2 linked regions of the Xenopus tropicalis genome follow. The protein of the gene in region 1 binds, or shares a complex with, the protein of each later gene. Links are inferred from orthologs where the notes say so. Each region holds a gene or a part of one and is shown in the gene's direction. Other genes may lie near its edges.

What was found.
Region 2: apoo (region 1) and micos13 share a complex: the UniProt entries of both Homo sapiens proteins name them as parts of the mitochondrial contact site and cristae organizing system (MICOS) complex. The link is inferred for Xenopus tropicalis from reciprocal best matches to the Homo sapiens genes APOO and MICOS13.

What each region holds. Positions count from the first base shown.
Region 1 is NC_030678.2:43,125,921-43,129,749, reverse strand, and holds part of apoo (MICOS complex subunit MIC26), read left to right. Parts: intron 1-508; coding exon 509-563; intron 564-738; coding exon 739-834; intron 835-2,174; coding exon 2,175-2,266; intron 2,267-3,829. UniProt on the Homo sapiens protein: Component of the MICOS complex, a large protein complex of the mitochondrial inner membrane that plays crucial roles in the maintenance of crista junctions, inner membrane architecture, and formation of contact sites to the outer membrane.
Region 2 is NC_030677.2:114,330,385-114,334,666, reverse strand, and holds the start of micos13 (MICOS complex subunit MIC13), read left to right. Parts: upstream 1-1,286; 5' UTR 1,287-1,369; coding exon 1,370-1,398; intron 1,399-1,593; coding exon 1,594-1,750; intron 1,751-4,282. UniProt on the Homo sapiens protein: Component of the MICOS complex, a large protein complex of the mitochondrial inner membrane that plays crucial roles in the maintenance of crista junctions, inner membrane architecture, and formation of contact sites to the outer membrane.

The sequences.
Region 1 (3,829 bases):
ATTGTCCGATAAAGCAGCTGGAGCAACAAAGCTGGAGAATATCAACTTTAAGAAAAACTAAAGCTTAACCAAAAAGTAGTCTGGAAATACTACACATTATGTTTTGGGCTTCTGTATCAGCCCAAGGAGACTACAGCTATTTATCATTAAAGACCTGTGCCTCTTAAAAATGCCTCACTAACTCCATATATTCTTTTCTGCTTCATGCTCTGCATGAACCTCTGGGTCTGAACTAGCATTTATTTTTAGGTTTTAGTTCTGTAAACTAAAAATCTAAAAAGGGAAGAAAAACAGGCATTGTAAAACCTTGAAACATAGTGTAAAATAGTGTTTACTGAACCCAACAGTTCATTTGAGCCTTTATAATATAAGTTCTTAGCTGCAAGTGTATGTATAGATTATATTATAAAAAAAATACCTGTGTTGTACTGCTACGTATAAATACAAATCATGCATTCTGCACTCCATATAACACAAGTAACTTTTCTCTCATTTTATGTATCTTTAGGATGCCTACATCAAAGCCAAACCCAAATTTGAGACTGCTGTAGAACATTCAAAAGGTAATCACATAAGACTGTGTCTTAAGAGTCATTGGGGGATTATGATATATTTTAGATTGTTTGGGTTGCCTGTCTGAATTTTGTTGATAGCTTGTTCTGTCCCTGCTTTATCTCAGAACTGTGTTTTGTACAACATGTGATAAATTGCTGAACTGTTGTATTGCACTGTTTGTAGGGACATATGAATTTCTAAAAGATGCACCTCCAGGTTTCTACCCAAGGCTGGGCTTGATTGGATTTGCTGGAATTGTTGGCCTGTTCCTCGCTAGAGGTCGGTATGACACAAACTGCCTGGTGTTTTAATACAGGAACGATATGTGTCCTGTGATTAAATCAAATATATTGGTGGGATCACAAAAAATGTGTAAAATGAGGGAAAACTTGAAATCAGGGTATGTAAATTGTGGTTTCACTGATATACAAATTGCAAAATACATTACAAAACTAACCCCCCCCCCCCCTCCACGTGAAATAGATTGCTACATTTTTTTCCCAGGGCTGGTGCCCCACACCAGCCTGAGAAAAAAAAACTAGTGCAATACGTACAAAACTTTCTTTGTGACTAAAACGCTAAAAGATTTTTAGCGTTCTAATTTGGTGCAAAGTGTGCAAATATATAAGGTGAATCGAACAATCAAAAGTGCTTATACATCAGCCCAATGCAGTGTATCACACCCACACGATGTGTCCAAAGTAAATGCTCACCAGATTTGATTGAAATAAGAGCATGTAGAGAAATCAATTCGGCTATTGATTGCAGTGTATCCTTAGTCCTTAGAATGAAGAGGAATCGAAAATAGTATAAAATCTTTAATATGTAAAATAAAGCCCCTGCACAATGCAGGCTACTTACAGGGCATTTTGTTGTGTCTGATATACTGCTTCACACTGTAAGTAGCCTGCATTGTGCAGGGGCTTTATTTTACATATTAAAGATTTTATACTATTTTCGATTCCTCTTCATTCCATATACTCTGAGGACTAAGGAGAGCATTTACTTTGGACACATCGTGTGGGTGTGATACACTGCATTGGGCTGATGTATAAGCACTTTTGATTGTTCGATTCACCTAATATATTTGCACACTTTGCACCAAATTAGAACGCTAAAAATCTTTTAGCGTTTTAGTCACAAAGAAAGTTTTGTACGTATTGCACTAGTTTTGCTTTTGTTTTTCTCTAATTCCATGCGCTTCCATCAACACGATTACACACATCTGAGACCCATCTAAAAAGGGAGGGTTGTTCTTATGAGGAGGCAGCACGCGATCACACAGTTTCTACTATATTGAAGATTTGGTTTCAAAGAACTCCACCAAGAAGCGCTGAGTATTTGGGGGACCACCCTATTAACTGTCACACTGAGAAAAAAAACTGCAGTACCCAGTGGGAGACTGACTAAAACACATATATATCTATATACAGTATGTTTATGAAAACAAAAATTATGGGAGTAGAGACCTAAAACTTGCTGTTGATCCAGTAACTTGTAGTTACACTATTGCTGTAAGCTATTGTTGTACAACAGGGAAAGACCAATGTATGCTATGCATTAGTATGAGCCTTGTTAATACTGTTTACTGAAATTGTGCTTTTTTTAATTGCTAACAGGTTCAAGAGTAAAAAAAGTGATATATCCACTTGGTTTTATGGGTCTTGGAGCCTCGCTTTATTATCCCCAGCAAGCTGTTACTATTGCAAAGGTAATGCAGTGTATCACTGTGTCATACAGTAAAAATGAATGAACAGTCTGACTAAAAGTGAAACTATAATGTATATTAGTGAAGTCATTGTTGCAGCACCCACACACCTGTCCCTTTTAATGGTGGTCTTATGCCTTTAAAGATAGGTTGTCTAGTGTCATCTCTTAGCTATAAAAGCCACAAATGGGGGAGGATTAAGCCTGTGAGACCAAAGCAGTCTCTCTACCCTAAGAAAGCTGGTGGGGTTAGGATGAAGTCTTTGACTGAGACCAGTGTTTTGGTCAGGAGAAAATATTCACAAGAAATGCAACAATTCAGAGAGGTGCTATTCTGTGAAAAGTATTGCCAGAGGTAAATAGTCAGGACCAGGTCCAGACTGAGATAAGCCCTGGCATTCCAAGTACCCACCAGCCCAATGAATAGTGACTTTCTATATGGCATCTTACAGCAGCCCCGCTTGCACTTACCAGAATCTACAGATTGTTTTAACACTTTTATGATCATAACTTTGTAACTTACTGGTTTTGAAATATAGATATACTTTCAATGAAAAAATTACTAGCAATGTGCATTAATCAATCCCCTCTCTTCTGTATGTTGTAGTTCATTTGTATATCTTCTGAAATACTGTTTAGTTACTGGAAAGGTACGTGACAGACTGAGTTACATGCAACACAATGCAGTATTATTAAACAATATTTGCTGCTGTGTATTTAAAAAAAAATTGTTTCCATAGCAAAATAATTAGCACTTTCTTTTTCTGTTGGCTGTAAGGTGTTACATAATGAGTAAATCCTCAGCCATAGCAACAGGGACATTTTAGTATGTCACAAGAGGTGTTTGTAGCAGCCAAGCAGAATTGTTGCTGATATTTACAGTAATTGGTTCCTGGACGATAACCAGATATATTTAGAACGTAAGGGAGTTGATGTACTCTCTTGATAGATAGCTTGTCATGTACCCTGGATTGTCATTAAGTGTGTTTTCAATTCACAATTGAAATACAACATACAGAATGCGCTTACAGTAACACGTGTAATGTCTTGTTTATTTGAAGGAACCCTTAAGGCAGGGAACAAGAGTGGTCAAATACCTCATAAACACAACAGGCTTTTAGAAGGGGAAAAACAGCACAGAAAAAGCCTCTCCCTGCATTCTTGCCTTCAGGGAGGTGAATGTTTTTCATTCTAAGTTGTTTGTGTTTTCATTTACATTTAATATGGGTTTACTTGTAAGGGTTGAACTTGATGGACTTGCATGTACCATTTCTTATCGAAATGATATGTGAGCAGCTAAATCCTTAGCAGGTATTAGTGTCACGTACCTTGTTTGTGTAAGCTCATTTATACGGGTACAATACCGGTGATTGTACATGTAACAGTTTATTGTGTTTTGTGCACATTTACGACAGAAATGGCACAGTGGTGTTATCAGTTCTTCTCATCGGCACCTCCTGGGTGTCCAGCCCTGCTACTTGTTCTTCCAAGCTTCCCTGTTTCTATATCCTCCTTGTTCCTAAACTCCCAATGACTCTCTAGTTTTGACCTCTGCACCAATACCAAA
Region 2 (4,282 bases), on another chromosome or scaffold:
TAGAAGAGTTGGTTTGTTAAAGGGCCTATGGTTGAGGTAAAACTCAGTAGGTAAAGCACTAGAAGGTTTTGTAGTAGTTTGCTTTAGGAGTGAAAGCCAGGATCAGGGTAGTTAGTAGAGTAGTCAGAGACTCTAACAAAGAAACCAAGGAAGGTTAGTACCCTGCAAAGTCACCTGCCAGTATAGGGACTCAAGCGCTAGGGTCAGGAATAGGAGATTTCAAGGGACTACTGTAAGCATCCACTAGTGCTGGGGACTACCTCTGGGGTGTTGTAAACATTACGCTTGTGATTAGAAAAGAATACCATCCAAAGAATTAAAGTATTTGAGCATTTATGAGACAACTGATGTTTGCACCATCTTATCCTCCAATACCAATAACCAATGCCAATAACAAATCATCACATTGGGCGTATTAAAAGGATTAAATGGGTATGGCTAATTTTATGCTGCCACCTTTCTGGTTTCTACCTGCTTTTTACCAGGACAGCCCAGTTTTCAAAAGGGCTGTCTGGGTCAAACCTGCATGGCCAGTTTTCCAAACAAGAAAAATAAGCAGGATTCTCCTACACTGATGCAGAACTTTTCCAGATTGCTGTAGCAATGTGCCAAATGATACCCACCCCACCCTGTCTGGCTTTCAGAATGGGAAAAGGTGGCATCCATATTTGTACAGTAGTGCTACCGTATTTGGTTTCTTGATTCTTGAGCTGGTGTTGATTTTCTAAACCAGATTATTTGGTTGGTCAGAAACCAACATCAGCAATGGTATAGGGGGTCATTGGTCAATCCAAACAGGACTGGGCTGTACTCTGCTGTGGTGTCTTTTCTTCTGCCCTCTTGTTTGCTCTCCCATTTTAGCTTTTTACTTTGGGATTTGGTCGAATCCCAGTCTGACACATTGCATACAAAATGGGAAGTATTCTAGTGTACAGCTAGTTGTACTAAATGCCAAAATTTAACTGGTGATCAAAATTTTATTTCTAGGTTTTCTTTATCCTGTGGCACCTTATACAATGTCAATACACAACTGCTTAACCAAAAACCATATTATCACTACGCTTTATGTATGCTAAAAAATGTAAACTTTGAATAGTAGTTCTTTTGTTCATATGTTTTATATTTATGTGAACAGCTATAGTTAAAATTGTATCATATATAGCAACAATACAGGCTATGGAACAATGTCACCATTTATATAGTTAACGAGGGTCATTCAAACTAAACGCTTGTTATCTCAAGCAAGCGTTTAGAAAAAACCCATATATTTTCTCTACACTACAATTACCGAGATGCTTTGCGAACTGTCCGTCTCATGTGATCGGAAGTAGAGAGGCTGGATGCGCGGCGTGTCCTTGGAGGGGGAAAAATGGCTTCCGCAGCATTGAGGATACTCAAGTGAGTTTGTGTCAAGCGCTGCTGCTTTTAACTTACTGACAGAAAATGTCCGTATTCAAGAATTCTTGCTGGGCTGTATTGTCGGATATAGTTAGCTTCAAGCTTTACGAATACCACGCCCTAAGGCTTTCTGCTTCATATGGAGAATGAGTCTGTGCGAAATAAATGGTTTTAGCAAATTCCTACTCATTTTAGGTTTGCCACCAAAGCAGGCCTGGCTGGGGGAGCTGTGTATGTGGCGTATGACCAGGGGCTGCTGGGCAGTGGCACCCAAGGAGAGGAGGTGCTGAAGAAGACCACAGCTGCCATACCGCCTGCCATTCAAGAATGGGCTAATTACTTCGGCTGGCAGGTAAACTAATTAAAGAGGTGTAAGTGTGTGTGTCTATATATCCATATCATATATATAATAGAAAGAGTGCCGCACTCACAGGGACTTGATACAAAAGAAAGTGTTTTTATTGAAAAAATTCCAACATTTCGAGCACAACCAGTGCTCTTCCTCAGGTCCACAAGTCCCTGTGTGTGCGGCACTCTTTCTATTATATTTTTGTTTTTGACCTGCACCAAAGGCATTTGGACTTGTATAGGGTGTGCTCCTCCCTGTGTACCATATCACACACACACACACATATATATATATATATATATATATATATATATATATATATATATATATATATATATATATATTTTTCCTTATTGGATGCAAAACAATCCTATTGGGTTTATTTAATGTTTTATTGATTTTTTTAGTAGACTTAAGGTATGGAGATCCAAATTACGGAAAGACCCCTTATCTGGAATACCCTTGATCCCAAGCATTCTGGATAATGGTTCCTATACCTGTATAAGGAACAGCGTAACTTATTTTGGCACAATCCCTCCTGTACAGGTTAGTACAGTGCTATACAGCCACAGTTCCATCAGTACATTACAGAGCATGTGTAAATGTTTTTATAGCATGTTTTAATTAAACTGCCTGAGGTGATGTGGCTGCTCTAAATTTAAGCAATGTAGATTATGCATTGCTCGCGTTAAACAGTCAAACATGGAGGTTTACTACCTCTTTAAGCATTTTAGACCAATGTAGATTATGTTTGTAGCATGCACAAGGCCTTAAACTAGTACATTATTGTATACTTTGTAGTGCCAACATATTCTAAAGCTCTTTACTGGGACTGAATTATACAGTATATAAAATGATAACAATAACATGTAAGAATGAAGAGAGGTCCCTATTCACTAGAGCTTACAATAAGGAAATGCATTGACTAAAGGTCCCCATACACAGTAAGATCCGCTTGCTTGGCAAGATCGCCAAGCGAGCAGATCTTCCCCCGATATCCCCACCTACGGGTGGGCGATATTGGGGAGCTTGAACGACCGGATTATGTAGGCGGCAATGGGGCAGTCGGTTCGGGGACCGCATCAACGAGCCGATGCGGTCCCCGATCCGACTGGATTTTCTAACCTGCCCGATCGATATCTGTCCAATTTCAGGCCAGATATCGGTCGGCCAGCCCGCTTGTTTCTGCCCCTACATGGGCCCTTGTATGGGGGCCTTAAGGCTAAATGCTTGCTTGGGCAATGTAATATGAAATGTATCTTAAATAAGCTTTTGCAAGTTTTCTTATTGCCCTGTGGATCAACCAGTTTCCCCAAAGACATGCACCTTCATAGAAAGCCTTCATTTGTGAACAGTTAAACATATGATGGAGTAGTGCACTTTGATTTTAAAACAGGCAAAATCCTATTTAAATGTATGTACCACTGTATGTAATTCTTTGTGACAGTGACATACACACAGAGAAATAATGTATTCTTTGTTTTTCTCAATGTCTGTGTGTATTACCCATGGACAATTGTTAAATAGCATTTTTAAGTATATTTGCAGCATGGGAGAGGTCTTGGAGGTGTTACATACGGTTGAAAAAAAGACCAGAGTTCAACCCTTCCAAGTAAACCCAGCACACAAACCTATACTGACCTATCTATGCACTCACATACATAAACTATATATACAGAAATTAATACTAACTGTAGATATTAGTGTAGCCCACCCTAGGGTATGGCTTGGTGTACTGTAGTTGTGACTGTGGTGACACCCCAAAGATTCCCAGTAAATACCAACACAAACAGGAAGTAAACCCAGATTTATTACACAGGAACTGGGCTGAAAATGAGTTAGAAAAATTAAATGCAGATAAATGCAGAAAGTATGAACAGGCAGAAATAGCAATAACAGTGCAATGCAATGTAAACTGCACTAGCAGTTAAGTTCTAACAACAAAGTTTGGGAGCTCCCCTAATGTCCTATAAGCCGGCAGCGTTGGGGCCCTTAAACAACAATTTACATCCAGGATGCTTGTACTTTGTTATTATAGCTTCAGAGGAAACCAGCTTGGCTACATTAGTATCACAATAGCCTTGGATATTCTGCTTGTTCAAGAACTCATCCAAGCCCCTCCATCCAGGCATTAACAGAATCTGCGATTGCAACATCACTAGGAAGGGCATTCCCCAACCTCACTGCCCTCACCATGAAAAACCACCTACGCTGCTTCAAATGGAAGCTCCGTTCCTCTAATCTAAAGGGGTGACCTCTGGTGCGTTGATTGTTTTTATGGGAAAAAAGAACATCCCCCAACTGCCTATATTCCCCTCTAATGTATTTATACAGAGTAATCATGTCCTCTCACAAGCACCGGAAAACATCCCCTTTACCAGTTTAGTTGCAGTCTCTGCACTCTCTCCAGCTCATTAATATCCTTCTTAAGGACTGGAGCCCAAAACTGCACTGCATACTCAAGGTGAGGCCTTACCAGGGACCTATAAAGCGGCAAAATTATGTTCTCATCCCTTGAGTCAATGCCCTTTTTTT